Linked DNA regions of Rattus norvegicus. The protein of the gene in region 2 interacts with the protein of the main gene of each other region in a biochemical or structural test. Links are inferred from orthologs where the notes say so. Each region holds a gene or a part of one and is shown on either strand. Other genes may lie near its edges.

What was found.
Region 1: the proteins of Rnf20 (region 2) and Wac form a complex in vitro, tested with the Homo sapiens proteins (2 studies listed by BioGRID). The link is inferred for Rattus norvegicus from reciprocal best matches to the Homo sapiens genes RNF20 and WAC.
Region 3: the proteins of Rnf20 (region 2) and Ube2b form a complex in vitro, tested with the Homo sapiens proteins (4 studies listed by BioGRID, with this or other methods). The link is inferred for Rattus norvegicus from reciprocal best matches to the Homo sapiens genes RNF20 and UBE2B.
Region 4: the proteins of Rnf20 (region 2) and Ube2a form a complex in vitro, tested with the Homo sapiens proteins (4 studies listed by BioGRID, with this or other methods). The link is inferred for Rattus norvegicus from reciprocal best matches to the Homo sapiens genes RNF20 and UBE2A.

What each region holds. Positions count from the first base shown.
Region 1 is NC_086035.1:60,653,897-60,661,300, forward strand, and holds part of Wac (WW domain-containing adapter protein with coiled-coil), read left to right. Parts: intron 1-2,170; coding exon 2,171-2,286; intron 2,287-2,699; coding exon 2,700-2,812; intron 2,813-7,044; coding exon 7,045-7,353; intron 7,354-7,404.
Region 2 is NC_086023.1:68,783,112-68,790,515, forward strand, and holds part of Rnf20 (E3 ubiquitin-protein ligase BRE1A), read left to right. Parts: intron 1-639; coding exon 640-786; intron 787-1,759; coding exon 1,760-1,837; intron 1,838-2,008; coding exon 2,009-2,128; intron 2,129-5,785; coding exon 5,786-5,965; intron 5,966-7,027; coding exon 7,028-7,163; intron 7,164-7,404. UniProt on the Homo sapiens protein: Component of the RNF20/40 E3 ubiquitin-protein ligase complex that mediates monoubiquitination of 'Lys-120' of histone H2B (H2BK120ub1).
Region 3 is NC_086028.1:36,759,871-36,767,976, reverse strand, and holds the start of Ube2b (ubiquitin-conjugating enzyme E2 B), read left to right. Parts: upstream 1-4,033; 5' UTR 4,034-4,109; coding exon of another isoform or gene 4,110-4,134; coding exon 4,135-4,178; exon of another isoform or gene 4,179-6,362; coding exon 6,363-6,443; exon of another isoform or gene 6,444-8,106. UniProt on the Homo sapiens protein: E2 ubiquitin-conjugating enzyme that accepts ubiquitin from the ubiquitin-activating enzyme E1 and transfers it to a E3 ubiquitin-protein ligase. In vitro catalyzes 'Lys-11'-, as well as 'Lys-48'- and 'Lys-63'-linked polyubiquitination.
Region 4 is NC_086039.1:120,976,938-120,985,000, forward strand, and holds the start of Ube2a (ubiquitin-conjugating enzyme E2 A), read left to right. Parts: upstream 1-3,146; 5' UTR 3,147-3,284; coding exon 3,285-3,328; intron 3,329-3,478; coding exon 3,479-3,559; intron 3,560-3,940; coding exon 3,941-3,966; intron 3,967-8,063. UniProt on the Homo sapiens protein: E2 ubiquitin-conjugating enzyme that accepts ubiquitin from the ubiquitin-activating enzyme E1 and transfers it to a E3 ubiquitin-protein ligase. In vitro catalyzes 'Lys-11', as well as 'Lys-48'-linked polyubiquitination.

The DNA.
Region 1 (7,404 bases), on a different chromosome or scaffold from region 2:
CTCCAGCTGCATATGTATCAGAGGATGGCTTTGTCGGGCACCAATGGGAGGAGAAGTTCTTGGTCCTGCCAAGGCTGGACCCCCAGTGTTAAGATGGGAAAGGGTGGGTGGATGGGTGGGGGAATACCTTCATAGAAGAAGGGAGAGGGGGAATGGGATGGAGGCTCATGGACAGGAAACCAGGAAGAGGGATAACATTTGAAATGTAAATAAAAAACTGTGCAGTTAAAAAAAATTAAAAAAAAATAAGAAAGGACATGTGTATTAATGAGCTGTTAGTGAACAACTCTAAGAAAGTAGAGATATTTTTGAAGAAGAAACAGCCACATGTCAGAGATCTGTTCAGATTTGAATTTAAGGTGGGACTAGATAGGTGTCTTGGTAGAACTTCCTTCTATAGGGAAGGTTGTGACTGTCACTTAGCTGTAACCTCGGCTGGCATGGAACTTACTGTGTAGACCAGACCAGCTTCAAAGCCTTTGAGAGCTGCCTTTCCCGTTCGAGGGCCCTTTTAAAGTCACACATAATTGTGCACTTTTCCTTGGACAGTTTCTGTAAGCTTGATGTTTATTATATATTTTAAAAACTTAGATCATTCAGAATACCAATTAAGCCCATCATGTGTTAATATGCATTTAATAAAACATCTTTCTAGAGAAAAAACTATATTAAAATCTGTGGTTTAGTTGCAGTATTAAAGGATTTAATGTCTCCAACCGTGTGTGTGTGTGTGTGTGTGTGTGTGTGTGTGTGTGTGTGTGTGTGTGTGTGTGTGTGTGTGTGTGTGGTCATTTCGTCCTGTGTGGCTTCTGGGTGAATGCCCATTTTCTTATGATAGTATTTTAGTCATGTGAAAATTTATCTCAAGTATTTCCGATAATACCTGAAAACTGGTTGTCTGTGACTACATGCTATATAACTTAGAAGATGTGGTGTGTGTGTGTGTGTGTGTGTGTGTGTGTGTGTGTGTGTGTAGGACTTGAGTTGTCAATTTTACATACTCTTTTTTTTTCAAGTCCATAAACTTGTCAAGTGTCATTCGTTGCACATTGGTATTTTAAATTACACTCTTACTAGAAATGGGCTGAGATGATAGTTTACTGTTTTCCGATTGCGAAAGTGTCTTGCATTTTTATAAAATAAGATATCCCATTTGTACAAGCTGAAATTTGATAGTAGTATTATAGGCCGGTATATTCCGTGATTATGCATGTTGTGTGGTGGGTAGAGTGCTTTACTGTATAGCCAGTGAGGATTACATGGTAGGTAATTTGGGAGCTAGCTTAAATATAAAGACTATTGCTTTAGGGAAAGCAAAACAAAATAAAAAATCTTGAGACAGATGATAATTTGCAGAATATTCCTTGAAGCACACTGGTTGTTTAGATCCCAGTATCTGCCTGTTCTGTTCCAATGTTCTGTTTTTTTTGTTTTGTTTTGTTTTGTTTTAAATTGGATATTTTTTATTTACATTTCAAATGTTGTCCTCTTTTCCCCACCCAACAACCACCCTCCCCTTCCTGCCTCCCTGCCCTGACATTCCCTTACACTGGGGGGTGGGTGGGGTATTTCAGCCTTGGCAGGACCAAGGACTTCTCCCTTTGGTGCCTAACAAGGCCGTCTTCTGCTACATACACAGCTCTCCAAGTGTTCTTTTATTATTAGCCTTGAATCTTAGTCTGTTTCTCTCATCAGTCTCTCAATCACAAATTACTTCTTGGCTAATGTTAACCCCTTCTGAACAAATATTTAAAAGCTTCTAGATTCTATAGGGTTGTTCAAACAGGTCCTTACTTTTAATCTGCCCTTTTTGTCTTAGACACCAGTTCCATGCAACCTCCCTTCAGGTTTTCCTGATTTCATCATGATTTTACAGGACTATCAAATATCTGTGTAAGACCAACTGAGAAGTTTAAAAGAACAATGTTAGTTACAGTATTATACTGCTACCTTGTGTTTTCCATTTTTTTCTTTCTGAATTCAAGATGTTAATAATTTCATGTTCTTCATATGCCTAATAGTCTATATACACTATACTATAATGCATAAAGGTTTTAATAGATTCTGTTCATATATATATTTGTATGTTTGGTATGAAAATTATTAGAATTTTTAATATTTCACATCAAATGCTTAAGTGGCAGACTAATTTTTAAAATGTGTTTTTAAGCCTTATGATTCTGCAGATGATTGGTCTGAGCACATTAGCTCATCTGGAAAAAAATACTACTACAATTGTCGCACAGAAGTTTCACAGTGGGAGAAACCAAAAGAGTGGCTTGAAAGGTACTTGCTTTTAACGTAGTAATACTCCCTAATTCATTCTGCAGGTCACCATTCTGTGTCATTAAACACTAGCTATTGGTTTTGTACACTAAACTCCCTTTATTTTTCAGTTTTAGTTATGGTCATATTTCTGTGTCTTCCCTCCTTATAAAAGTGTTTCTTGGACATAAGAGCCACCCATGTGGAGGCCCGGGAACACTCAGTAGGCTAGTAGTATGTTAGCTGACAGTCCTTTCGGTGAGAACCATTCTTAGTGCTGTATGCCATCTTCCAGACCAGCTTCAGACGTAAACCATGTTCCCTTTTATCCAGTGTACAGTTTTGTGGCGCATTTGGCCAGAAAGTTGGTATAGAGACTTAAGTACTTAGTGTCATTTTTATTCATAAAGTGATGTTTATTCTTTTACTTCTAGAGAACAGAGACAAAAAGAAGCAAATAAGTTGGCAGTTAATAGTTTCCCAAAAGACAGGGATTACAGAAGAGAGGTGATGCAAGCAGCAGCCACTAGTGGGTTCACCAGTGGAAGTAAGTGGTTGGTTTCCTTCCTTCCTTCCTTCCTTCCTTCCTTCCTTCCTTCCTTCCTTCCTTCCTTCCTTCCTCCCTCCCTCCCTCCCTCCCTCCCTCCCCCCTCCCCTCCCCCTTCTTTTCGCTTTGAAACAGTATGTTTGCTTTGTTACTATTGTTTTAATTTAACAGCTCATAAGTTCCATCCGCATGTGTAAATTGGCATGAAAATATACATGATTTCTATTATGCTGACTGGCTTTTCAGCTCTGTTTCCTGGAAAGGGAAACAGGTGCAGGTAGAATAGGGGTCTGTGTGGTTTTCATTACTCATGTTGCCTGTAGTACAGACTTGGTAAAGAACAAGATTTCCATATTTAAAAAGAGGATTAGCTTATAGTCTTAAGTAGTAAATGATTGAGCCCCACCACACACATTTATTAACATGCTTGGAGGTTTTGACTGTAGGTTCTTATGAATAGCTGACAGCCTTTTCTCCCTTAGTGAGGAAAATCTTGGTCTGTTTTCTGTATCCCACTGTGCAATACTGTCATTTTGGTTATCAAGGAGAAGAAATCAGTATGTAGATGGTCCCTAAAATGGATGTTGTTAGACATTACAATGATGTGAGAGTATACGCAAACAACTCGTCTGTTTTTTGTTTCCTGGGAATACTAGAAAAATCACTTCAGGTAATAATTCTTTAGTAGTACAAAATAAATTTCTTGATTTTTTTTTTTTTTTTTTTTTTTTTTTGCCTGACTGTACTGAGTTCACATCATTGCTATACTCCTCCATCCCTTCCTCCAGTAGCGTATATGTATGTTTTCAACGTGTCTCTGGTTTACAATACTATTGCTGAGATCTAAAACATCATTATCTGTACTTACATGTTAATTCCACTGTGTTTAGAGATCTGTATAAGCTGGATACTGAGGCTTTGAAGAAACATTTAAATCTTTTATAAACTATTTTTCATCCCTTGTTTAAGGGACCCTTGATCTGTATGACAAACAGGTTATGCCATAATGTTTTATTGAGATTTATCCATTGATGTGAGTAATTGATTCTTAATAAGGGGTATTGATTCTTTAATGGCAAATGTATTTAGTGTGAACTTTTAACATAGCAACATTAAATCTTCAAAATATGAGTACGATTATTCTTGATTTTTAGTGACTGATTTCAAGTATTAAGTTAGGGAATTTTACAGAACATTATATTTAATCCTATGTTGCCTCTTGTCTCAGGTAACTAGCTGACTTTGACCAAACAAAAAGAAGCTAAGGTTTTTATTTTTGAAGTAATTAAATAGTATATTGTTTATTGTTGCTAGAGCAGTTGGTGGGCAGGGACTAGTGACGTGTGCATGAAAAGATCTTCTAAAATGAAGAACAAGGAAGCTGTTTTGCTTGTGGACTAGACTCTAGAATGAGTGCTGAATTGGACCAGGCGTTTGCCATTAGGCTTAAGCTAGTAGTTCCCAAAGAGGAAACTTGGTTTCTAGGAATATTGGGTCGCTTTCATTAATTTCACAGTCTGATTTACATCTGCTCCTTAACTGAATTCACATATGTACAGATAATGAGTCCATGGGTCCATAGCTGGATTTGTGGTTGTATAAATTTGTTTTCTAACTTAAGTTTTTCTATACTGACTACCTTTTAAATAAATTCATTCTTCTCTAAGGTTAAGAGTTTATAAAGGTAAACACTAAGAGACCTAATTTTGAATAAGAGATGGGGAGATTTTTGAATGTTTTTATATGTTGTCATATATTCAAAGTCTAATGTTTATAATTTAGAGTTAGAAAAGCCTAAAATGGTCACGCACTCCTTTTTACTGTATTAGGGAGGCAAACAGGCGGATGTATATAAAAGTTAGTGTTAAACTTGTAACCCTATGATCCAGGAGTGTTTTGATGTGCATGCTTTGTTTACTGTGTACATGTGTATAGAAATCAGACCTGCTTAGAACCACAAATGAGATTATTGCTTACCCTGCTTGTTCAGTAGTGTCTCTGGGATCTGCTTTTATTTTGATTCTGCATCTGTTAAACTATTGTCTGCACTATTGAGGTTCATTATACCATCCATAAATTGTCTGCTATCTGAATACTGGGCTGGGTTTTCAGCTATTTTACATTCTGTGATTCATATCTGTCCCTTAATGAACCTAAGCTCCTGTGTGTACAAATGATGAGTCAGTAGATTTGGGGTTGAAGTAATAGTTGTATTTTTTTATCTTAGTTTTTAAAGTTTTATGTAATGGTTGAGAAAGATTTTAGTTTTTCTGTCAAATTTCTCCACTAAGTCATATAAAGTGCTGTAGTAATAAAATCAGTATCCCATTTAATTATTTGACATTGTCAAAAACTATTTTGTTTATTGGCATTTGGGTTGAATGATGGTTGGAGTGAGAAGTTTCTTAAAGATGGTAGAAATGTTACCACATTCTGGATTTCAGAAATGTATGGATAATTTTTCTTTTGGTGTTAAAGCTGCATCTTGATTATTTTTCTAGAATTAATAATATGCATCTTCTAAGCTCAGAGAATCCTCCACTGGGATTTCTTATAGCACTAGTAACATTTTGGATCAGGCAATTCTTTGCTGGAGAGACTGTCCTGTGTTTAAATTGTTATTATACCTGCTAAATTAGCTAGTCACCTCCCACCATGGCTTTGAAATTGAAATGAGTGGGGAGTGGTGGTACAGATATACATTTCTGTAAATTTCCTCTGTCTAGTGATGGTAGGAATCAGTTGCAGCTCCATCTTCCCCAGTTCCTAATCAACTATCCTTTTGACTTATTTTTTTAATAATAAAATATACTTTGAAGTAATACTTTAATACTTTGAAGTATTATTTTATGTCTTCTTCTGAACATTTTGACCTTTACATGTTTTGCTTCAGCCATATACAACTAAAGGAGAATTTTCTAGGTTAATGAAATAAAAATAGGTAATTAAGTGGCGTTGTGTTGTTTGGCATGGTGTTATTCCTGTTGTTTCAGGTAGAATAGCATCCTCTTTGTATCAGGAGACTAAAGTGAGATTCTAATAGTCCATATAAGGTAGAGCTATATGTATTTATCTATACAGGATTTTGGATACCACTGTCACAGTTGAGTCTGCATTTGCTATTGGTTTGATGATAACATACCAAGTTATATTAGATACTTGGAGAGTTTCTTTTGATACAGTTAAGGGCTTTTTGGTGGTAAACCACTGTTTTAAAGGTTCTGTTGTTGTTGTATAGTAGTGGCAAGGTGAAAACTGACTCATAGAAGTATGCAGAAGTATGCTCCTTATACCTTCTTTATCTTAGGGTCAGAGGAGTTTGGATTGTGAAAGACATACATATTCATAGTCTTTGAAACTGTCATGATCAAAGGGCACATCCTTTTGATCTTTTAATCTTATGGTTTTTCTTTTCTTGGATATTACTTTGGAATATTAGTAGGTTTTTTTAAACTAATGACCTTTGTTCACATAATTGTTTAAAGAATTTCCTCCTTTTGTATTACTTTACAGAAGCAAAGTTACCAGTATTTAAACTTCAGGGTTTTAGCTATTTCCTATACCTCCTTTCTGAGCTTAAATTCTTCTGGTTTTTTTTTTTTTTCCCCCCATTTATTCTGGCAATAAGCATAGTTTTTTTGTTTGTTTTGTTTTGTTTTCTGATTATGCCTGCATGCATATCTTGGATTTCTCTCTTCAGAATAACATGTGACATATGAATATGCTACTTTTGCCAGCATTATATAAATATTTTAATGGTTTTGTTTGTGATGCACAATTCAGTATATGATAAGTCATTGAATCATTGAAAGACCTACAGTAAACCCTTAGAGCCTACATTAGCTAGCTGCCTAGATACTCAAAAATTTAGAAATAATGAAGCCAGTGGTCCTTTGTAATTGGACTACTGGATAATTATTTGACCCTGTGATCGATATGTTAAAAGAATCAAGAAAATATTTGCCTTTATATTTTTAGAATTTTTTTTTTTTTTTTAGTAAAATGTTAGACTAGAATCTGAGAATAGATTAATGTTTATAGTTGCTGTATTGCTGTTTATATGCCAGTGTTAAAGTTGCAGCCACTAATTGGACTCGCAATTTAAGGAAAGGAAAATAAGTTCAGGTGTAGTGTTCAACTAGCTGATGTTCATGTCGTAGGATTCTAACAGCATTTGTTTTTCTTCCCCCTTCTGTCATTCCAACATCTCTTTTGGGAACTGTGAACTACAGTGGAAGACAAGCATTCCAGCGATGCCAGTAGTTTGCTCCCACAGAATATTTTGTCTCAAACAAGCAGACACAATGACAAAGACTACAGACTGCCAAGAGCAGAGACTCACAGTAGCTCTACGCCAGTACAGCACCCCATCAAACCAGTGGTTCATCCAACCGCTACCCCAAGCACTGTTCCTTCTAGTCCATTTACGCTTCAGTCTGATCACCAGCCAAAGAAATCATTTGATGCTAATGGAGCATCTACTTTATCAAAACTGCCTACACCCACAGCTTCTCTCCCTGCACAGAAAACAGAGAGAAAAGGTATGCTGTTACTGCTACACGCTGCATGTTGAACTGTAGTTGTAAAATAGT
Region 2 (7,404 bases):
TTTGTAATCCCAGAACTCCACTCCCTAAGACGAGATAAGAGGCAAGGACTGGACATACTTGGAAGTTTGAGGGCCTGACTTAAAATTCTGGCTCAAACAAGATGGAAGTCAAGGACTGATGCCTGAAGTTCTCTGTTCATGTCCATATACAAGCTATGGTGTGTGTACGCACATATGCACACATGCACACAACCTGATTGTAAACTGCTCAAGACTCAGCCTAAATACAGAAGAAGTTTTTTCTTGTTCTATAAAGATTATCATTTCTGGATATGTAGCTAGAGAAAGTTGGTGGTAAGAGATATTTCTGTTTTAAATTATTACTTTCTAAAGTATTTGATAAAGGATGTTTTCTTTCTAAAAGAAAATCTTCATTATCTGAAGGATCGTGGTCTATCTAGGGAAATGGTACTTTTCAAAGATAGAAAGATTATTAAATCTTAACTGGTATTGTCCTTGTGAAAGTTCTTAGCAATTGCTTGTTTTCATTATTATAGCACTCTAAGAACTTTTATTTTTAAATTTGGCTGTTGAATTTTTTTCTCTAATTGTATATGAGTAAGGACTAATTTTATGGAAGTTGGAACTCTTGACTCTATTCTTTTGTTATATTTCTGAATGCTTGTCTTCGGGATGTAGTTCTGTAAGCTGCAGGGTAAAGTAGAGACAGCAGAGTCACGAGTGTCCGTCTTGGAGTCCATGATTGATGACCTGCAGTGGGATATTGACAAAATTCGAAAAAGAGAACAGCGGCTCAACCGGCATTTGGCTGAAGTCCTAGAGCGGGTCAGTGCTATTTATATAGGCTTTTAAAATGACTTACAAATGCAGTTTTAATTAATGTGTATGTGTGTATGAGGGAGGGAATATATGCCATTGTGTGTGCAGAATGTGGCCAGAAGAGGGCATTAGCTCCCCTGGAGCTACAGTTACATAGGGTCGGGTAGCTAAGCATGCGTGCAGGGAGCTTCCAGCTGGGCTCCTGCAAGAGCAGCAAGTGTTTTTACCTGCTTAGCTATCATTCTCCAGCCTCTCCGCCACGCCCACTAGCATATTCTTTCTGTCTTTGAGACTTACATAAATGTATACCATGTATCTTAATCCTATTGATCCTCTGCAGTTCTTCCAGAACCCTTCTCCATATGTCTCCATGTGTTCCCCTCAACTTAATGTCTTTTTTTTTTTTTTTTTTTAAATAATTCACTGACTACCATTTGGGCTTCTATATGCTTAGAGTGGGCAACATACCAAAGACCACACCACAGATAAAAGTGACTTTCCTCCTCTTAGCAGCTGTCAACTGCCGATGGCTCTTCAGTGAGGGGGAGGTAAACTCTTCCCCTTTCCATGCTAGTCTGTTGATTAATTTGATCTTGGGCAGGCAGCCATAGCTGCTGTGAGTTCATAAGCACAGCCACTGTGCCATATCCAGGAGACACTGTTGTTAATGCTCCCACCTTCTAGCCCTTAACAGTCTTCTCACACGCGTGAGTGCGTGCGTGTGTGTGTGCATGCGTGCGTGCGTGCTCATGTTCTCCCATTTTTGGCTGAACACTTGGTTGTCACTTGTTCCTAGTACTTCAGCTGTTTAACTGGTTGTATGCTTGTAGTTACTAACATCCACTACAAATAAAAGCTTCCTTCTCAGAAAGGATCAGCCAGATGCTGTTATTTGAGGAAGAAACATCCTTTGAATGACTCTGGTCTTACAACTGAAGTCTTCCAGCCTCTCACTAAAGAGTCATTGTCTTCTCTGTAGGTGAACTCAAAAGGCTATAAAGTGTACGGAGCAGGGAGCAGTCTCTATGGAGGCACAATCACCATCAATGCCCGGAAGGTACGTCTGCCCCACCTGGGACATGGTGTTTGACTGGGGACAGGCCTTGTGCCTCGGGTCTGCATTGGTTCCCAGGTAACACAGTGGCATTTGCAAGAGTAGAACAGAATGTGGGAAGCATGAAGTGGGATGACCTTCATTCTCATCTGATGCTTTCCTGATCCTTTCTAGTTTGAGGAAATGAATGCTGAGCTTGAGGAGAACAAAGAGTTGGCTCAGAACCGACATTGTGAGCTAGAGAAACTTCGTCAAGACTTTGAAGAGGTCACTACACAGAATGAAAAGTTGAAGGTAGGAGACAGAGCTCTGAAGGACAAATGATTTGTTCATCAGCCTGTGAACCTGCATACTTTATGAAGAACAAGAAAAATTTGGCCAAATTTAGCCTCTTCCATGATAAAGGTCAACAAGTTAGGTATAGAAAATTGTACCTTAACACAGCAAAGGCCATTTGTGACCTGCCTACTGCTAACATGCCTGGTAAAGAGTTGCAAGATTTAGGATGTTTACTCTTGCCTTTGTTGTCAGTATCATACAGAAGCTCAGTCAGAAGAAATGGGCATAGGTAAGAAAAGGGCTCCAGATTAGAATGATTGGAGAGGGAGGAGTAAAGTTGTCTCTGTTTGCAGGTGCCATGATCCTACATGTAGGGGTCCCTGAGAGAACTAGAAACGAGTTCGATAAGGTTGAAGAATGTAAAATCACCAACAGACTCAATGGAAGCGGTCTCATTTTATATAGCAGTAAAAATAGTAAATTTAACCAAAGATCAGTGTATAACAACACTGTGTAGATAGAGTGGATATTATTCAGCTTTGAAAAAGGAAAGTTAGTCATTTGCGGCAGCATTGATATACCTGAGGGATATTATACTAAGTGAAATAAGGCAGGGAGAGATAGACAAATAGTGCTTGAAACATACAGATGCTAAGAAAGTGGATCTCATAGAAGCAGAGAATAGACTCAAAAGGAAACATACTGGCTGGAGACCGAGTTCTCAACAGAAAGGAGATTTATTTGCCTCAGAGGGACAAAGGGCAAAGAGTAAGGGACAAAGACAGGAGATAGAGGGCAAGGGAGAGGGGGAAGAGAACAAGGAAGAAGGAATAGTGGTATTTGTTCCAGAGAGCAAAGAACTGCCTCTGGATAGAGAGGAGATCTTGGGACGTAGAAAAATGACAATTTACAAAGGTAAACAGGGAGACCCCGTGTTAAGATGAGGTTTTAATTTTAACTGCGCATGTTAGTTAGGTGAGCCAAAGTGGGCTTTTGATTTCTGGACTTCAGTATTTTGATAGCTGGGCCATGGCAGTCAGCCTTAGGAGGAAGATGTGGCCAAATAAGGGAATGAGCTTTGGTGACTAGCTGGGGTGTCAGTGGTGAGAGGGCATGCGACTAATGGAAGACACTGAAGAGAGGTTGGAACAACGTGGGAGGCATCGAAGGAGATGATCAGTGAAGTCAGGAGAGTTTGTTGGATGATGACCTTGACCTTAACGCAGTGGAGGGAGGGAGGGAGGGAGGGAGGGAGGGAGGAGGAGAGGGAGAGGGAGAGAGAGAGAATGAATGAATGAATGAATTTGTCTGTGTCTGTGTGTATTGGAGAGATGTCTTTGGTTTAGTTATGTTTTATAATTGGGAGTGTGGGATTTGTTCAGTGTTGATATCTGAGGATGTCTGGACAGTTAATGAGTTTAGTCAGTCAGTTGGTGATGGATATCTGGCAGTCATTTGGGCAGAGGAATAGTTTGAGTGTGAGAAGAGGAATGGGATTTGTGGGGAGCTGGTGATCTTGAGTGAATAGGAACCAGAGGGTGAGGATGAATGTTGATAACGGAGGGGTCAGCCTGATGTAGTTGTCTTGACAGGAAGGGGCTCCATCTATATAAAAATGTAGGCAGAAGTAGCCAAAGGGCCCTCTTGTGTGTGAGAGGAAGAGTAGGAGGAGGATTTCAAGAACTCTTTGACAGGAGTGTCGAAGTTCTGGGTCGGAAAGGCGAACATTCTAAGTTTAAGGAAATGTTTGAGGCGGGGAGGAAGGAGAAGGTCTAAAGAAGTGGGTGGAGAATAGGAGGAGTTTGGGAATTCTCTAGGGTGAGTGTGTAGATGGAGGCTGAGGAAAGGACAAAAGCCTGAACATTCACTTCAGATGTCAGAAAGAAGAGCGTTTAATTCTTAGTTGTGGCATAAGTAGCAGGCCTTTGGTTGTTAGGCTCAGGTCTGAGGAGTTTTTCTGTAGAGAACGAACTTGGGAAAATTGACCTTTCTTTGACAAGGCAGAATACAGTAGTCAATCCAAAAGTGTCCACAGTTCATACAGTATCCTGGCGGCAGGTTTTCCTAGTGCTTACCATCGCCACAGTCCAGGTGCAGGGTTCTATCTTTTTTAGGAGAGCCCTTACAGTTTGTTGTTGTTGTTGTTGTTGTTGTTATTGTTTTGTTAGCACTGGAGTCTCTGTTTATTGGGAGAAGTTTCTGTTGAACGTTTTAAATGCCATATTCAGTACTTATTAAGTATACCTGATTTTAACCTTGAGAACATATACAGGAGACTGAATAAAGCCTATTGTAATTAATCGTGATTGTAAGTATAGCTTTAAAAGTTAAAAAAATTATGAGGTAACTGATAATTGTATGTTTTAATTCTCTTCAATACTTTTTAATAAAGTTATTGCAGCTTTTTATAAGATTAGAACTTGCAGCTTTATCCCTGTTAAGTTTGACCTTTAAAGTCTGAGTTGAAGATTTAATTGGAGATCTTTTAGCATAAAAATAAACCTAAATGTAGTAAATTTGTCATTAAAGAAGATTATTCTTGTAGAATTGAGTTTAAGCAGTAGACAGTGTCAGGACAGGAAGGGTTAATGAGTTGGGAAAGTAGCAAGGGCCTTGACAGAGGGAGGTGGGAGATAAGACTAAATTATACTGTAGCTCCCTTGGTCGCCAACACTGGAGAGCGTGACTTCAGGAGGAGGGGAGCAGTACTGAAACAGCTGGAACAAGTTGACCGAGGAGGGGGGGGAGTTGGAGGAGTTCAGCTGAAGTAGCCAAGTCTGGGGCCTAAGGGAAATGGTTGCTGTGGCCCAGAAGGAAACTGAAGTGTTGGAGAGGCTGATGCTCCTGCATTTGAGCTTTTACTCCTTCCCACAAGGCCAAGCTGAACTGGTGGTGCAGAGTGAGCAGGGATAGCACTGGGGAGTGGGTGGATAGCTGTGGAGAATGGGTGTGGGGGAGGCAGTGTTGGAGCCTTACCAGAGTTTAGGTAAGGCAGAATGGAACTGGAGGGTATTTTGTCAGCTGAGGGCAGTGGGGAGTTGGGGAGGGGACAGCTGCTCAGGCCTGATGGGTGTGGCCTGCAGCCTCAGTGCTAAGTCTGTAGGCATCCTGGACTGGTATTCATTTTTGCCTATTAGAATTGTCCTTTGCAGAATCTTAGGGGAACAAAGAAGAATCTTCTAGAAGTCTTCCTCATCTTTCTTTGATTCATAGACTATCATTTATAATTTATTTCTAGATTAAGGAATAATGAAGATATTTGCACTAAAAGGAAAAACTTCATAAACATTCTTGGAAAATTAAATCAAATGGTTGCTTTGGAAAAACATGACCATTTTTGCTACCAGTCGTAATTATTTTCTCTGTGACAGTGAATAACAGTTACTGGGGTCTTCATCTGTGATTTAGAGCAAATGTCCTGGTCAGGTCAGTTTTACTCAGCTCTTCTTTGGATTAGAGTTGAAACAATGTTAAACACATGTCAAAATAGTGGGTGGCCTGGTTTACTCAGGGACTGAGTTCTACCCAGGAGTGGTAGTCTCTGTTTCATCATTTTTCTGAGTAATGGTTCCAAGTGAGTGTCACATTGGTGAGTTATTTTCCCACGACTGACTTGTGGGGCATACATGCTTTGCTCTGACTCTGGCTTGCCTTTTGTCCGGCCTTCCTAAGGTGGAGTTGCGGAGCGCAGTGGAGGAAGTGGTTAAGGAAACCCCAGAATATCGCTGCATGCAGTCACAGTTCTCTGTCCTGTACAATGAGAGTCTACAGTTGAAAGCTCACTTGGATGAAGCTCGGACCCTGCTTCATGGCACCCGGGGAACTCACCAGCGCCAGGTTGAACTCATTGAGGTAATATTGAACTTTTCTGTGTTTCACTGGTGGGTATGGGAGCCAGCAGTCTTACCCACAAAGCCAGCCATTCCCTCTCCTGCATTGTCTTCTCTATGTGATTGCCTAACTAATGGATTTTGTGCCTCTACTTTCATGCATAGTTAATATCCCATTCCTCAGTTAATATCCAGTGGGCATAAGTGTAAGACAACAGAATTCTTGCCCTCATGGATCTTATGGGAGAATGCTGCTATTAAGGTGCTGCATGATTCAGTGGTAGTTGTCTGAAGATGTGGTGATGGAGAGACAGAGCATCTGATTTGTCTGTGGTGTCTTCCTGATAAGGAAGTGGGTGGAAAGATGGAAAGTTTGTTGATGTGCTCCAGCAGTGACAGCCTTCGTGAAGCTGTGCCTATGACTCATATGTGTGGGGACATCAGGCAGATACTGCCATTGTGACATTCAATGCACATCTAGTAGGCAAATTATTTGAAGGTATAGCTTTTATTTTGGTATTTATGTTCACTTTTATGTTTTCTATACTCCTTTTTAAAAAAGACTTATTTGTTTGTTTGTTTATTTAATGTATGTGAGTACACTGTTGCTCTCTTCAGACACACCAGAAGAGGGCATCAGATCCTTACAGATGGTTGTGAGCCACCATGAGGTTGAACTCAGGACCTCTGGGAGAGCAGTCAGTGCTCTGAACCGCTGAGCCATCTCTCCAGCCCCATTTTCTTTACTCCTTACGGTGGTGTTTAAAGTAGCTGGAGTTTTCATGTATGTTGGCTAAAGAACTTGATGCTAGTTTATGTTTACACCTGGACAGTTTATGGTTCTCCAACTGAATTGTAATCTCAGAGCTAGAGGCCATTTTCTTTATTTCTTCATTGTTCCACCGGGTTATGAAGTCATGTTTCTATATCACGTCTGGTGTTCTTTAAGTAGAGGTAGTGTAGTGGAAATTTTCAGAATAAGCCTTCTTTTCTCAGCAGTGTTTTTATCTTTTTAGACTGTTACAGATTGAATTTAGAGGTAGACTCAAGCGATATGAATGTTTTATTGGTTCTTTATCTGCAGCGAGATGAGGTTAGTCTGCATAAGAAGCTGAGAACTGAAGTGATTCAGCTGGAGGATACCTTGGCCCAGGTCCGCAAGGAGTATGAGATGTTGAGGATAGAGTTTGAGCAGACCCTTGCGGCCAATGAACAAGCAGGTAGAGTCATTCTTGTCCTACCCTGTGTTCTGTCTGTTGTAAACTCCTTTGAAATAAAATTTGGTTCTTGAGCTTTGTTAATGCTAACTTAAACTCAGAAGACTCAGTAGTACCTGGAATGGAATCCTGCTACTGATTTTGAGCCTGTGTGTTTGATTTAACTCACTCAAGCAATTTGATTTTTCATCCTTTGAGAAGGAACATTTCTTTCAGTACCCTCCCTTCTATTTAGGAATTCCTG
Region 3 (8,106 bases), on a different chromosome or scaffold from region 2:
CGCCGGCCCGGCTGCGTGGAAGTCCCAGCCGGACGCGGGACACCACACCTCCAGTCCTGGCCGACCTTGCCCGCTCCGGGCAGCCGGATGCCCTGGCAACCGGGTGGGGGCGGGACCTGAGGCGTTCGGAGCACAGTACGCAAGACTGGAAATCGCTGGGGTCCTAACCCGGAAGGGAAAGTGACACGAAGCGGAAGATAGATGCAGCAGGATGGGGGCGGGACATAGGAAGCCCGCGTGCTTGCAGGTGGTGGTGGGGATGAGGGAGAACGGGGCATTTTATAGCAGCCCTTTAGGTGTTCGCCCAGCAAGAGAGCGTTTTGTCACCTGCGTAATTACTGGTCCCTTACTTGTGCCCGGATATGAGATAACTGATCTAAGGAAGACTTATGGGGCTACAGTTTGCCAATGCTGCATAAATATTCCATACACCCAATTTCGACCACAAAGTCGACATAATCCTTAAACTGGGGACAAGATGGTTCTTGGGTAGAGGGCTTACTTAGCTCAGTGGTAAGCTACATACTCAGCATTCACTACTCCCCTGACTTATTTCTAACACCAATTCTGTACACATTTTCAGTTTTCAATTACTGTTTTCCAATTACTAGTAATCTTTTTGTCTGTTTGTTTGTTTTGAGACAAGGTCTACTATGTAGCTCCATACATAGTAGGACTCACCATGTATACCACCAGGTTGGCCTCAAATTCCCAAGAGCTCATCTGTCTGCTTAGAGTGCTGTGCAGTGCGCCACCATAACCACCAGCCCTAGCAGCCCTTTTAAAGTTTTCTCACCACGTGTGAAACGCAAAACTTTTTAGGAAAATAAGTAATTCACTGGACTCTGCCACAGACTGAATGTACAAGGGCGCCTCGGAATGTATTTAAATAACCCGCAGAACTTTTTAAAGGGCTCCATTTTTTTTTTTTTTTTTTTTTTTTTAGAGATCTTGATTTAACTGTAGTGCACAACTAGTCAATGAGATGGCTCAGTAGAAAAAGGCCACGAAACCTCAATAGTTGAGTTCAATCTCTAGGACCTACATAGTGGAAAGAAAACCAACTCCTCCAAGTTGTCTTGTGACCTATACACACAAATAAATATGTGCACAAGAAATGTGCTAAGTAGTGTAAAAAAGAAACTAGTTGGGCTGGAGAGATGGCTCAGCGGTTAAGAGCACTGATTGCTCTTCCAGAGGTCCTGAGTTCAATTCCCAGCAACCACATGGTGGCTCACAACCATCTGTAAAGAGATCCGATGCCCTCTTCTGGTGTATCTGAAGACAACTACAGTGTACTTATATATAATAAATGAATAAAGCTTTAAAAAAAAAAAAAGAAACTAGTTTGCTTAAAAAAAAAGGGGGGGGGGTTGGGGATTTAGCTCAGTGGTAGAGCGCTTGCCTAGGAAGCGCAAGGCCCTGGGTTCGGTCCCCAGTTCCGAAAAAAAGAACCAAAAAAAAAAAAAAAAAAACCAGTTGAGAAGTATTTAAAATTTTGCCACTAACTGCTAGAGCTGGGCTTTGGAGCTTGAGAATAAGGAGGATGGGTACTTGGTTTGGATTTTTCTTCATTTCTCTATAAATAAGAATGTCATAGTTAAGTCTTACAATACTGTATGTTTATTCAGTATTTGTTATGAACTAAATATATGCAAGGAGGAAAGCATGAATTAGTGAGTCCTTGCCATCACAAATTAATTCACAATCCCAGTGCTCAGAAGAGAGACAGAGCTATGTGAGATTGAGGCCAGATTGGTCTACATAGCAAGTTCCAGACCAGCCTGAGCTACACATACCCTGTTTTGACAAGTGAAATTATAGTTCTAAGACTGCAGTTGTAGGCTTCCAGCAAGCCGCCTGGCCAGGAAATTGTGTGAATTTGTTAACATTCTGACTTCTAATACTTTTGGGAAGCACATTCAATGTATCAAAACATTTCATTTTGGATAAAAACCTATCTGGTCCATTTTTAAAAGTAATAAATTGCTAGATAATCGACACAATGAGTTTTTTTTTAAAGTTTCTTAACCATTTTACTTTATATATTCCCACACACATTTGTCTTCTTTCTTGACCATGAGGAAGATTAAGATTGGTATGGCTGGGCGGGAAGAAAAAAGCCAGGCACTTGTTGCCTATCCCAGCTACTCAAAGAGGAGTTGAAGTCCATCCTAGGGGATTTAAAGAGACCTTTCTTCCCCCAAGACAAAGTCTCTCCGTGCTCTAGGTGCTGTGGAATGTGCAGGCCTCTAGGCCTCCAGTCTCCGCCTACCTAGTGCTGGAGTTGAGCCTGTGCACTGCATCCTCAGTAAAATTTTACAGGGCTACGTAAGGCCCTGGAGTTCTACTGAATACCTCAAAAAGAAGAAACGTAAAGGTAAGAATACTTAACTTTTAGCTTAGTCACATTGTGAGGACACAGCAGCGGCTAGCAATACACAGACATACCTGACAATCCTCAAGGTTACTTTTTGGCGGGGAGGGATGAGACTCTCAGGCTGCCCAGAGTGGTTAACATCTCGATTCACTGAGGCTAGCCTTACACTCCTGATCCTTTCCACTTTCGGAATGATGGGATTAGCAGGATGCACCAAGACGCTGGGTTCTCAAGGTCATTTTAAATCATGAGAATTGTTTGAAGAATGGGGGGATAAGGATAGTGGAAAAGGCTAACCCCTCCTGGTTTCAAGGAACTATGTATATAGGAAGGAGTGGAGCAGTAGATTCTCATGCTCTTTTCCCTTCTAGAGCTAAAGAATTCCGCATCTACTCCACCGTTCGGGTCCCTAGAACTAACATCAGTGCTAGAAGCTGAGATTGGGAATTCCAGGAGCTTGCGGGGCGGTGTGTGTGTGTGTGTGTGTGTGTGTGTGTGTGTGTGTGTGTGAAGGCTACTGAACCTGCTGAGAATCACCCCACACACACACACACACAGAGCACTTCCGGTCCGTTTGGCCCCTCTTTGCTATTGTACAAAGCTTGTACTAAGTTACCTCAGACTCGAGATATAACTCCCACCCATGTCTGCATGATCTCTCCCCCGATCTGAATCATTTTGGTAGGTTTCTTTGACAACCAGCAGCCCATTGATATGCCCTAAAAATCACACCCACTCGTTTCTTGAGAAATACAATTGTTCCCCACCGCAGGCAAAATCACAGATTCCAATTCTAAGACTCCATAGATGGAGTCTTTAAGGCTTGGACAATCTATTCCACTCTCATTTCTGTATAGACTTTAAGTATGGAAATCCCATACAGGCTATAATTGATCCAAATGCCCTTAATCCCATCTGATTTGCACGGACCATAGTATTCAAAGCTGTTCATTACAAGGCTTTGCCACACTTTCAGTACCTGTCCCACGTGCCAGAGTTGCTAAGCCACTTGAAACAGAATTAAGTCCAGATTTTTTTGTTCCGTTTTAAAGACTCAGAACGCCAAGTGGCTTCTTCCACAATGTCTCCTTATGCAAAGTCCCAGTACTTGGGACCAAAAGAATAATGTATGACTAGAGGTGTCAACTCCTTAAACTCAAGGACCTGCTTTGTGAGACCTGAAACCAAGAGCCAGGCTAGGCCGTCACGTGACTTGTTCTGATGGCGTCACAGGCACACGTGGTTCTAGATACTTCGCTCCCTCCCCCTCAGGGGTGGATTGTTGACAACGCCGCTAGCGGTCACGTGACCTGACGTCATCCCACCTCCTCTCCCCGAAATCTCAGGCTCCGGATGCACCTCTCTCCCCGTCCGGCCGAACTTGAAACTAGCGACGGGGGGAGCGAGGCAAGGTAGCGTGTGGGCTCCGGCGCGGTCGGGCCGGCCCGTGTCCAGCCTGGGCACGGAGAGGACCTTCCATAGTTCCTCACAGCCAAGAAGCCCCGAAGACGGCCTCCTGCGCCTCCAGGGTCGCGCGCGCGCCCGCTCGCCCCGCCCCCTCTCCCCTCCTCCCAGCGGTGGTACTGGCGGAGGGCGGAGGGATCTGGAGGCGGCGGAGGGAGACGTCATTGCAGGGTTGTTTGTGCAGTCTCGGTGGCGGCGGCGACCCACAGTGATTCGGCCGCTGCGCCGGGGGGTGGGGGGGCCGAACGGGACTCTTTTCTTTCAGACTGACCGCGGGGCAGCTGCGGAGCATGTCGACCCCGGCCCGTAGGAGGCTCATGCGGGATTTCAAGCGGTAAGGGCCCTCGTCTTAGCCCAATATGACGGCCTCTTCCCGAAGCTATGGACTGTAGGGCGGGGATCCGGGATATCCTCCCCCGGTGACCCTGAGGAGGGGGGCAGTGGGCCTGCGGGACCCACGGCAGCCCCGGCTCACCGGCGACTCTTACTCCCTCGCTTCATACCTCCCTCTGTTTGAGTAAAGATGTTCGGTATTATAGCCACCTGCCCTCCCCCCCCCCCCAAAAGTAGGAAGGTAGCCATCGCTGGGCCTAGGTGTCCCAGAGGCCCACCTAGGCCAAATGCAGACGCTTCACCTCCCGCCTCTGCACCCTGCGGTGTCCCCTCCGCAGGTGGTGCTAGGGAGCTTTTCCTGAGGTTCTGGCCTCGCCTGGAGGACCAGTCCAGCTTTGTTACAGGGCCCCGTGGTCTCCTATTTGTAGCGGGGTTGGGGTGAATACTGTCCCAAATCTCTTTCCCTTTCTGCAGTGGTGAGGGTGGGGTCTGCTGCGCGAGGTCCGGAGGTGGTTAGCCCATCCCCCGAAACCCGATCTGCCCCCGCCCACCTGGAAGGACCTTGAGAACTGGCTCGGGAAACCTGGACCTGGAGCTAGCCACTCCGCTGCCAGTGCCTTCTGGAACTAAGATCTGGCTGCCGAATAAAGGCCTATCTATAGCCTCCCCGGCCTGGGAAATGCCTTCCGTCACACTGGAGCTAATCTGATACTCCACCTGGGCCTCCTTTTGGAAAATAGGAGTTTATAGGAAATAAGGGGCTTGAAGGAAGAAAATGACCTCTCCTTCCTCTTCCAGTTGTTTACCTCTCCTTGGAAACGTACAAGTGCAGCAACCGTAACTTGAAATCCAGCGACAAGATACTCCTCTAAGTTTTCTTTCTGGGCAGACCCGCTGTGATTGAGACAGATCTGTACTATAAAAACTTAGATTTGCCTCTCAGGAAGCAACTGCTCGACTTTGCCTTTATAAAGCCCTGTCTGGGGCATTTGGAGGTCTTGGGCCTTGGACAGCTTCATTTAATTCGTTGCTGATTTTAGCCACTTAAAATTGAGGAATCAGGCAGTAAGTTCGTTCCTCTCAGCCCTGTTAGTGGCATAATCTGCTTGAGGTTTTTTGTTTGTTTGTTTGTTTGTTTGTTTTTTAATGTGGACTGATCGCTAAGTGTCCACTTAAAAATCATGACATACTTTGTATGGTGGAAGGCTTTTTTTTTTTTTTTTTTATGATCTGACAGATGAGATGCCCTTGTTGGTGCAAAAGGCTTGAAGTCACTATATTTGATTGGCTCTGTAGCATGCAAATAAACCTTGCCATTATGGCTAATACATCATCCATTATTATCTCTTGTTCATTTTTGCAATTTCTGTACCCGATTGAGTACAAGGTGCCTTTGGTGGTTTTCCAAGGATCTTGAGGTTACATGAAATTGATGATGACGTCTGTTGAAAGTGCTGTATGAAACTTTGTATGAAGGCCTAAGGTAGAGTTGGCCTGAGAGCAGTGTCTTTAAAAGAGAGACTGCTGGAAAGCTAGCTGGAGCTTCTGGCTACTTGAGAAAGCCACTGTCTGAAGCACAGACCATAAAGTGTGGTTCGCTTTCTAGTTAAACTGAATATGCTTTTCAGTTATTTAGTGTATGGAGATTTCCTACGATTTTGTGTTAGGACTGGAGATCCTTGCATGATGAAGGTAGAAAAACTGTAGGCTTTTGTGTGGTTTGGTTTTGGTTTTTGGTGTTTGGTTTTGGTTTTTTGAGACAGGGTTTTTCTGTGTAGCCCTGACTGTTTTGGAATTCATTCTGTAGACCAGGCTGCCTCCAAAGTGCTGGGTCTAAAGGCATGCACACCACTACCACCTGGTAGTTGCAGATTCTCTAAAATATTTTTCATTGCTAAAATTGTAAACTTGTAATGGGTCAAGAGGGCAGTCTGGAAACAAGAGTTCTTCAAGAGATCATATCTTAAATCTTGCTGTGTGAAGAAGGATGACCACCTAGTCCTTTGGGCTTAGAGATCACTGGTAGTATTAGTAAGTATATTAACCTGGTTGATTCTTTTAAGTCATAGCTCATTTCAGCTCCAACAATAAGTCAGTCTAGTCAGTCTCTCAGAATAGGTTCAGTAGAATTTGACCTCACTGACCTTTATGTTCAACTCTGAAAATGACTACTCTGGATTTCTAGATTGCAAGAGGACCCACCTGTGGGGGTCAGTGGTGCACCATCTGAAAACAACATCATGCAGTGGAACGCAGTTATATTTGGGTGAGTTGAAATAGCGACTGCTTAGGAAAAGTAAGTATATAAGCACCAAGGAAAGAGGCTGAGGTGGATCCGAAGCTCACTTGTTGGGGTAGGGGGCACTTTTTTGAGAACCATAGGCCTCCTGTGCTTATTGTGCTCCTATCACTAAGCTGTATACCCAGCTCCTGAAACATTTTATTGAGTCTGGGACATTTATATAAAATTGGTCTGCTCCTTGCTGTTAAGTTTAATTTGGTTTCTTTCCCTTGAGACAAGGTGTTACAGTGTTGATCGGGGTGATTTTGAACTGGGCTGCAGTGATCCTCTTGCTTTAGGCCCTCAGGAGTAGCTGGGATTGTGGGAGTTTGATACTGTACCTAGCTATGGTATGGTTTTACGGTCACTCCAGGTAAATGATCTAGGGTGTAAAGGCATTGAGTGAAGCTGAGTGGTAGAATGCTTGCCTGCCATGCGTATGGCCCTGGCTTGATCCCCAACAATAAGAAGTAAATACTTGAAATTAAGTAGGGTGATAAAGGAGAAGAGAGAAATCAACTCATAAAATGTGCTGTGCACTTGCAGTTTATGCCCATACTGTTGGAGCCGTAAAAACACTTGGAACCAAAGGAACTGAAAACTTCGCTGTGATAAGAATTTCAGCTAAAAATCCTATATGCACAGCCCCCTGAGAAGCCATTGAACAAGGAAGGTAGTTTTACTTTGGGTGATGCTGGGGTTGAATCCAAGCATCTTACTTTGGGTGATGCTGGGGTTGAATCCAAGCATCTTAACACATTGTAGGCAAGTGCTCCATCACTGGGCTTCACTCTTCGCACCTGTGAAATTTTATTGAGATGGACTCTTGACAAAGGTTTGGCCCCTTTGATCCAGCACTTGGAGGTTAAGGTCCAGGCTGCTTACTGAGGCCCTGTTTTACAAAAACAACAAAAAAAGGTCTCCATGCATTTTTCAGATTGTTCTCAAACTTAGGATCCTCTTGCCTCAACATCCTCAGTGCTGGGAACACAGGCTTGGGCCACCATACTTAATACCTTTCTAATTTTTTGTTTGTGTGTGTGTGCGCACACACTCGCTGACTGACTGACTGTGTGAGTAGGTGTCCATAACCCACAACACTCAATATAGAGGTAAGATGACAACTGTAGTCATTTCTCTCCCTCCATCACGTATGTGTTCAAGAAATAGTATGGTGAGTAGTTCTTCCTGCTAAACTATTCTTGCTAGCTCTGTACATCCTTTTTCATTTAAAACTTATTTTGATTATGTATGTTTGTGTAGGTATGGGATTATGGGAGTTTTCCACTACAGCTAGTTATGGTATAGTATCATTTTACAGTCAACCCAGTAATTGGTAACAGGGTTTGAAGGATCCATGTACAAGAGAGCAGGTGCCCATGGAAGCCAGCCAGAGGCCAGTGTCCAATCTCCTTAAGTTGTAAGCTGCCTGCCATGGGTGCTGGGAACCAAACTCCTGTAAGAGGATTTTCTCAAGTACTCTTAATCAGTTAGCTGTCTTATAGGAGTCTACATTTGTAAGTAGTAGGGGACTAGGAATGTAGCTAGCTCAGTTGTGGAAGTGCTTGCCTAACATTCTTGAAGTCCTGGTTTCAATCATCTGTAATCATAGCCTCTGGAAGGCTGAGACAAAAGGATCACAATTTAG
Region 4 (8,063 bases), on a different chromosome or scaffold from region 2:
TTTATTTTATATAAGTACACTGCAGCTGTCTTCAGACATAACAGAAGACGGCATCAGATCTTATAACAGATGGTTGTGAGCCACTATGTGGTTGCTGGGATTTGAACTCAGGACCTCTGGAAGAGCAGTCAATGCTCTTAACGTCTGAGCCATCTCGCCAGCCCCTAATCTAGATTTTATAGTGAAGAAATTGAGTAGATTTTATTTGTTTGATTATTTATTTATTTAGGTACTGGGGATGGGGCATGGAGCCTTAGACATGCTAGGCAAATCCTGAGGATATTCCAGTCCACTGAAAAAGTAACTTACCTGAACTTAGAGGATTTTTAAGATAAAGAGATTATCAAGGTTGGGTCTGATGTAATCTGACAAGTTAGAGAAGTACACTGCATTCTTCTTATAGAAAAAATGTTCAAAGTATGTGAAGGAGCTAGCAAGAGAGAAGGTCACATAGCAAAGAATGGAGGTGGCCTCTGGGAGCTGGGAGTGGTCCCAGTTTGGCATTTAATAATGAAATAGGGCCCCGAGTCCTACAAGCATAAGGAACTGGACTTGACCTGCGGTTTGTGGTGATCAGTTAAGCAGTGAAAGAGAACAAATGCTCTTTTTGCAGGCCTTGCTTTTGCTATTTTCATGTGTGAAATAGAAGACTTCAAGTTTCTAAATGAGGGGAAAAGGATTTTTGAAATTTGGTTTGGTAACCTTATCCCACCAACAGCCATAATATGACACTGTTAGGGAAACTTGCTTTAATGGATATATGTGTTGGGGTTAATCGGGGATAACAATTGTTAGCTAGGGAGGTACCTACCATCAAGCACCTAGTAAAATCACTCCTGTTGGTATGTGCTTTCTAGTCCTGTGCACCTGATGATTTCTGGACATCTTCACATGGCTGTTTCATCACTCCCAGGAGCTCAGGAAGCCCCATTCAAAATTTCCTCTCCTGAATGTGTCCTTCACCCTTTATGCCTACTTCTGTTAATGGCTACTTCAAATCTCTACTTCTTTTTTTTTTAAGGTTTATTTATTTATTATATAGAAGTACACTGTAGCTGTCTTCAGACACACCAGAAGAGGGCATCTGATCCCATTACAGATGGTTGTGAGTCACCATGTGGTTGCTGGGATTTGAACTCAGGACCTCTGGAAGAGCAGTCAGTGCTCTTGACCATTGAGCCATCTCTCCAGCCCTCAGTCTCAATTTTTTTTTTCATTTTCAAAAAGGATTTATTCATTTTATGTATGTGAGTACACTGTCACTGTCTTCAGACACACCAGAAGAGAAGAGGGCATCGGATCCCATTACAGATGGTTGTGAGCCACCATGTGGTTGCTGGGAATTGAACTCAGGACCTCTGCAAGAGCAGTCAGTGCTCTTAACCGCTGAGCCATCTCTCCAGCCCCTCAGTCTCAATTTTTAAAACATTTTCTCATACTGTGTGTGTGGGGGGAGATTTCAAAACGTGAGCAGGATTTAATGTGAGAGAAAATCTCTGTTGAGATTTGAAGCTGTAGTAGGTCCCATGGTAAAGGATGGGCTTGGCCTCTGGGAGGTTTGATTGCCTGGTACAATGTTTCTCCTGAACAGTACCACAAGAGCCCTTCAGGTACTCTCTTGCTCTCTCGGGACAAACTCTGATTAACCCAGCTCTAATGGTGTCGCTTCCTGGCTCTACTACCTTCCAAGGAGTCCATTTGCTTGACATTCAAAACTCTCCCGGATTTAACTCAAACCTGCCTTTCTCATCATTTCCTGCATTCTTAAATAAGTATCTTCTTGTCTGCCTACTAAGTGATTTTTGGGTTGATCTTTGAAAATGCTTCTTTCAAACTGTTCTTGCTTTTGCAGGTGCCTATACTCCCTGTGAGGCTTGCCTGCCCGTGACTTGCAGCTTTCCCCCGAGCGCCTACCTTTCCCTGCCATCTCCTGTCCTTCCAATACTCTTCAGCTGGATAAGCTCATACCTTGGACTCCTCTAAACTAGCTGCTTGGCTTGATCAATTACCAAGGGGAAATGTGGTTCCAGAGACAAGTTGTGAGTGCCCATGGCATTTGTAAAATGTCTATTTTCCCTGCCTGAAGCTCCCATTTCCACCACTGCCCCAATGTCATTTTATTCAGCCCTAGACTTAAAAGTTGGGATTGAATTGTGCACCCTCATCTCAAAGAAGATGGACCCAAAGTCCATTTTCACACTCAAGAGCCATTTATTTATTTATTTATTTATTTATTTATTACTTTCCCCATGATTCTGAGTAGTTACCCCAGCCTCTCGTGTCTGCAGGACCATGACCCTAACATCCTTGCCTTTTGAGAACTTGTTTGCCTGTGCCAACTCTTTCCCCCACTCTCCTGTTTCAACTAATCTTCTCTCCGCTCCTCTTTCCCCGATCCTAGACGTAGTTGGCAGTTTAATAAATCATGCCTTGTCAAAACCAAAGAAAGGTTAAGGCATATTCCTGGCAGGCTGAGGTGACCTCAAGGCCCAGCCTCTGGGATTCACAGTGAGTTTGAGTTAGCCTGTATTACATTAGATACTACAAGAGACCAACCGTACAATCAATCAATCAATCAATCAATGAAGGTGGAAGAAGCAGGGAGCCAACAACAAAACAACAAGTAATTAAAAGATTGGTATGGTGGTGCACTCTTGTAATCCCAGCATTTGGGAGGTGAAAGCAGGAGACTCAGGAGTTAAAGTCATGCTCAACCACACAGTGAGTTAGAGCTTCCCTGGCCTACAGGATACCTTGTTTCAAAAGAGGAAAAAAAGAAAGGAAAGAGAAAGATTTCCTCCCCCACGACCCCCCCCCCCCCAAAGAAAGTAAGTAACTATAAAAAGAAAACTTCGCAGGGGTTCCTCTTCAAATCCGCAAGTGGAGCCCATGCGTTTCCCTTTTAAATTCCCGACAGTTGAAGGCTGCCTTTGCTGCCCGCTTAGCCTTTCCCCTCGAACTTGACCGCCACCGCCCCACGGTCCTGGATTGGGGCTCTCAGGCGGGGCGTGACTGACAGAACAACTTTGGTCCTCCCCCGCCCCGTAGCCGACTTGGTACAGTCCGCCCGGCGTAAGGCGTTCCCCCCCACCCCACCCGCGCGTTCTCCTCAGGTTGGTTCGGCCCCCGTCTACTCAGGGGTGGTGCTTAGCCGGCGCCAGACCGACCCTCGGCTTCGGAGAGGTAGTGCTGTTCCTCTCGGTGCTCCCTCGGCTTCGGCTTCCTCCGCTTCCTCAGGGACCGCGGACCCTGGTATATGCCCTACCTCTGACCCTGCTAAAGCCATGTCGACCCCGGCCCGGCGCCGCCTCATGAGGGACTTCAAGAGGTAACCGGCGTCGGTTAGGGAAAGGCGCTTGAGGGGGCTGCTTGCCCGGGGCACAGGGCGGATCCCGAAACGGAACGGCTCCGGGTGTGGTGGTGAGGGGGGCCGGCCGCGAGTCCCGGGGCTGAGGGGAGCCGCTGTGTGTTTCTGAAGGTTACAAGAGGATCCTCCGGCTGGAGTGAGTGGAGCCCCGTCGGAGAACAACATAATGGTTTGGAACGCGGTCATTTTTGGGTGAGTCTGCGGTCCGGCCCTCGCCGGGGACTCAGGGGACCGGGGCCGGCCCCTCGATGAGCCGCGGGGGGAAAGGGGAAGATAGTTGGGGTTGTTTGGGCCTAGGCGCCTCCCCGGAGCCTCTGCCTCGATTAGCTCCGTTCTCGCTGCCAGGGGAACCGTTTGGGGTTCTAGGGGGGCGGGGTGGGGAGCGGTGGCGGCCTGCGCTGCCTCCAGAGCCCCGAGGGGACAGGGGTGGCTTCCCTAACACCGGACAGCTGTGCTGGACGGAGGGCAGGGATGGGAGACCTTGACAGAGCCGCCTCTTCAGAGGCTGCGGGAAGGTGTGGACCCCCTTGGCTGGTACTAACCGGTTCTTGTTTTTGTTTTCCTGTGTTGCAGGCCCGAAGGGACCCCATTTGAGGATGGTAAGAGAGTTTCTTAGCCCACCTTTCAGGAGCCTACTCACCAGGGAGAAGGGGGTCCCTGGCATCAGCAAGCATCCCCAGCTTAAAGAAGCAGCTTTGCCCTGCCTCTTCTGCCCACCAAAGGCTCAAGTGAAATTCAGTGTGTGGCAGGTTGTTCTGGATGGTCCTATGCTTAACTAAAACTGCACTTTTCTGGGTTTTTTTCCCCCTCCGTTTAATATATCCTGGGTGAAAGTAGTCACTTTTTAAAAGAAGTGCCACAGTGCTGGTATTCAGGATTTTGGAGGTTCGAGCAGTGTTTCTGCTAACTTTAGCCCCCACGGAGATAATTCAATATAAAACCGGTCCACCAGAGACCATCTGGTTCACTATGCGTTCCATCCCGAGGGCAAGAAGTGTGTTCAGCAGTACTTAGTGTGTGCTCTGTTGAGGGCTGAATGAATGCTTGCAAGATTCCCTGACATACAATTCCCTGGCTTCAACAATATGATTCAGAAGGCACATCAGCCTCACTTCTTTAAAGATGTTCTTACATACTTAATTTCAGTATAATGTTGTTCCTTGATTTTAAATTCATTTACAGTGTGTGCTTTCGTTTAGATCTTCTAATTGGTAATCTCAAAGCAACTTCAGAATTGAGATTTGTCTCACAGTAGTACCCAGTGTCCAGCCTACTTGAATGTTGAGTTTGTATCAAGAGGTGCATAACAAACGAGTTAGGCTTAACTTTTAAAAACACACGTTAAGGTCTCTTCAAAATTTGATATATTGAATGCTGCCGTGGAGTCTTATGCCATTAAGTTTTGCGCTTGGAAGGCAGAGCAGGCAGAGGCAGGCAGCTCTCTATGAGTTTGAGACTAGTCTGGCTTACTGTAATTTCAGGCCAGCCAGAGTTACATAGTGAATCCTTGTCTCAAAAATAAAGCAACAAAGAAAAAGCCCCCTTCTAATTTGACATAATTACAGATTCCTGTGCAGTTGAAATAGGTACTATAACAAGTCTATGTAAAGCCTTACTCCAGTCCCATTACCTATTTGGTAATGTCTTGAATGACTACAATAGCAGAATCAAAATGGTCAGTGATACAGTTTTATATGCATAAACCAAATTGTGTGTGTGTGTGTGGGGGGGGGTTGAACCTTTTAAAGGTTTAATTCACTTAAAGGATGATTAGAACTTTCTGAGTTCATGAAATTCTCTGGAATTGGGGGTATTTTAGTAACATACGAATGTGCACAGATACATAGACACATTCACCTTCAGTTTGAAGGTGATAACAGAAACATTTCTAAAACTACTTTTTTTTTTGGTTCTTTTTTTCGGAGCTGGGGACCGAACCCAGGGCCTTGCGCTTCCTAGGCAAGCGCTCTACCACTGAGCTAAATCCCCCAACCCCCTAAAACTACTTCTTATATATGTTGCTGACTCAGACTGCTTTTACTTACTGCTAGTAACCAAACGCTGTGAGGTAAGTCAAAATCAGCCTCGTCTGGAATTTGTCTCAAATACTTAAGATAGTCTTTGGAAACCATTGATAGTTACTAGAATACTGTTAGCTTTTACTCTATCTCACTGGTTAGGTAAATGTTACCTGCCGCAATAAAAAGAAATGACAGAGGACTGAGTGATTCTAGGGCACACAACTTTGGTGAATTTAATGTAAGAGCTAGTCAGTGAAAGAGCTAATTAGACTTAACTTTTCTCTACTATATCGAGATATATATAGTTTTGTTTTTTGAGACAAGGTTTCTTTGTGTAGCCTTGGCTATCCTGGCACTCTACTCAAGAGATCCATCTGCCTGTGTCTTGAAAATTCTAGAATCAAAGGTTGTGCCAAGTCTTTTTTTTTTTTTTTTTTTTGGTTCTTTTTTTTTCGGAGCTGGGGACCGAACCCAGGGCCTTGAGCTTCCTAGTTAAGCGCTCTACCACTGAGCTAAATCCCCAGCCCCGCTAAGTCTTTATAGATAAGTTTTATATGTAGTTCAGTGCTTCTCAACCTTCCTGATGCTGCATCCTTTTAATACATTACCTTATATTGTGGTGACCCCCAACCATAAAATTATTTTTGTTACTACTTCAGAACTGCAATTTTGCTACTGTTATGGATTGTAATATAAATAAATGTGTTTTCCAATGGTCTTAGGTGACCCCATGTGAAAGGGTCATTCAGCACACCCCCAAGGGGTCACAACCCACAGGTTGAGAACCGCTGGTGTAAACCACTTCAGCAATAATGGGCTTTACTTTCACACACACCCCCATTTTGCTCAGACTGTTTTATCTTAGGCACAGCTTATTAATAGCACATCATTTTGCTAAAGTCTGGCTACTTAAGATTTCAAGAGTGCTCCTGATATTTAAAGTAGTATCATTTGAAAAGGTACTTGTAGACTCCATTATCTTCCTGTATTGTTGCCTTTGACATTACTGGTGTTGATTTTGATGGTGTGTATCTATCTCTAACATGGCATTGCTGAAAGGAGTTAAGCTAAATGACAGTATCTGTCTCTGATTCTGTAAAACAGTCTAGTATACATGGATTGCTTCCTCAGCTGTTTAGAGCTCTCACTAGCAAAAGCCAATCCTGGCCTTTTTTTCATTACTTCTAATTACTTTCGGAGAATTTATAATTAGGGAAGAGATTTGGTAGAAATAAATAACAGCTGATTTGCTATCACAAATGTGTTTCCAAATTAAAAGCCCTCACACAACTTTTCTTTATTTCTTGGTAGTTGTTTCTGAACCAGATCCTAGTTAAGAAGAGGAAATCTGATGCAAAGAAAAATTTGTTTTTTGAGACAGGGTTTCTTTGCAGCCTTGGCTGGCCTGGAACTCATAGATCTACCTGCCTCTGCCTCCTGAGTGCTGGAATTAAAGGCATATAACTTAAATACAAAAATTATGGGATATATTTCTTATCATGTTCAAAATTACTGAGTGGGATAATTGTAGTCACTTTTTATGATATATGTGATCTAAAGAATTTGAGTGTGTGTATCTTTTCCTTTTAAAAAGGTATCTCTTTTTTTTTTTTTTTTGGTTCTTTTTTTTTCGGAGCTGGGGACCGAACCCAGGGCCTTGCGCTTCCTAGGCAAGCGCTCTACCACTGAGCTAAATCCCCAACCCCTAAAAAGGTATCTCTTAAAGTCCACTAGAGTGATGATGAATTTTCAGTCACCAAAACAAAATTAAGTCCATATAAATTTGCTTTTTCTCCAGGAAAAGTTAGTCAAATGACAAGAAACATGAGCAGAAAGGGTTAAGAACTTTTTCTGTGTGTGTGTGTGTATGTGTGTTAAGACAGGGTCTCTTGTAATCCAGGCTGGCTTCAAATTAAATATGTAGCTGAGGATGACCTTGAATTCCTGATCCTCTTGCTTCCCTGTCCCAAATGCTAGAATTAGAGGTATTTGTTGTCACATAGGCCATCAAGTCTAACTCTTAACTTCACTTTCAAAGACATTTAATCTATGTTATGTCTTTAGGCAGAACTTATATTCATCAATTCAACTATATCAGTCTTTATTGCCATATACTAGACATTTAACACATTTTTTCTGGCCTCCGTGTGTATTTGTGTTGATACTTAAAACATTTTGACCTCCTCAGGAAGTTTTAAAAAAAATTAGTAAAAACCAGTAAAGATTTCACACAACAATGATGAGTGTTAACCTTTCATTATTTTGTTTTTTTTTTTTTTTTTGGTTCTTTTTTTTCGGAGCTGGGGACCGAACCCAGGGCCTTGCGCTTCCTAGGTAAGCGCTCTACCACTGAGCTAAATCCCCAGCCCCACCTTTCATTATTTTGAAGCCTAGCCCTCTGAAGGTGAGCGCTAGTTTGAAATTGTTTAATAGCCTATGATTTTTAAAATTGCCTTAACATTTGTTTAGATCTCATAAATTGCATTGAGGGTTCTACTGAAGAGGCTCCCCTTACTTAATGTATCTGAAAGAAATGTCTTTTAAATGTATATATTGAATAAGATTTGGGTAAGTCTTAATTTCTAAATCAAGTGAACAAAAACACATTTCACTTCTGAAGATAGCTAAAACTTTTACAAAGATTAGATTCGCTCAGTAGTAGCTAGGTTAAGACT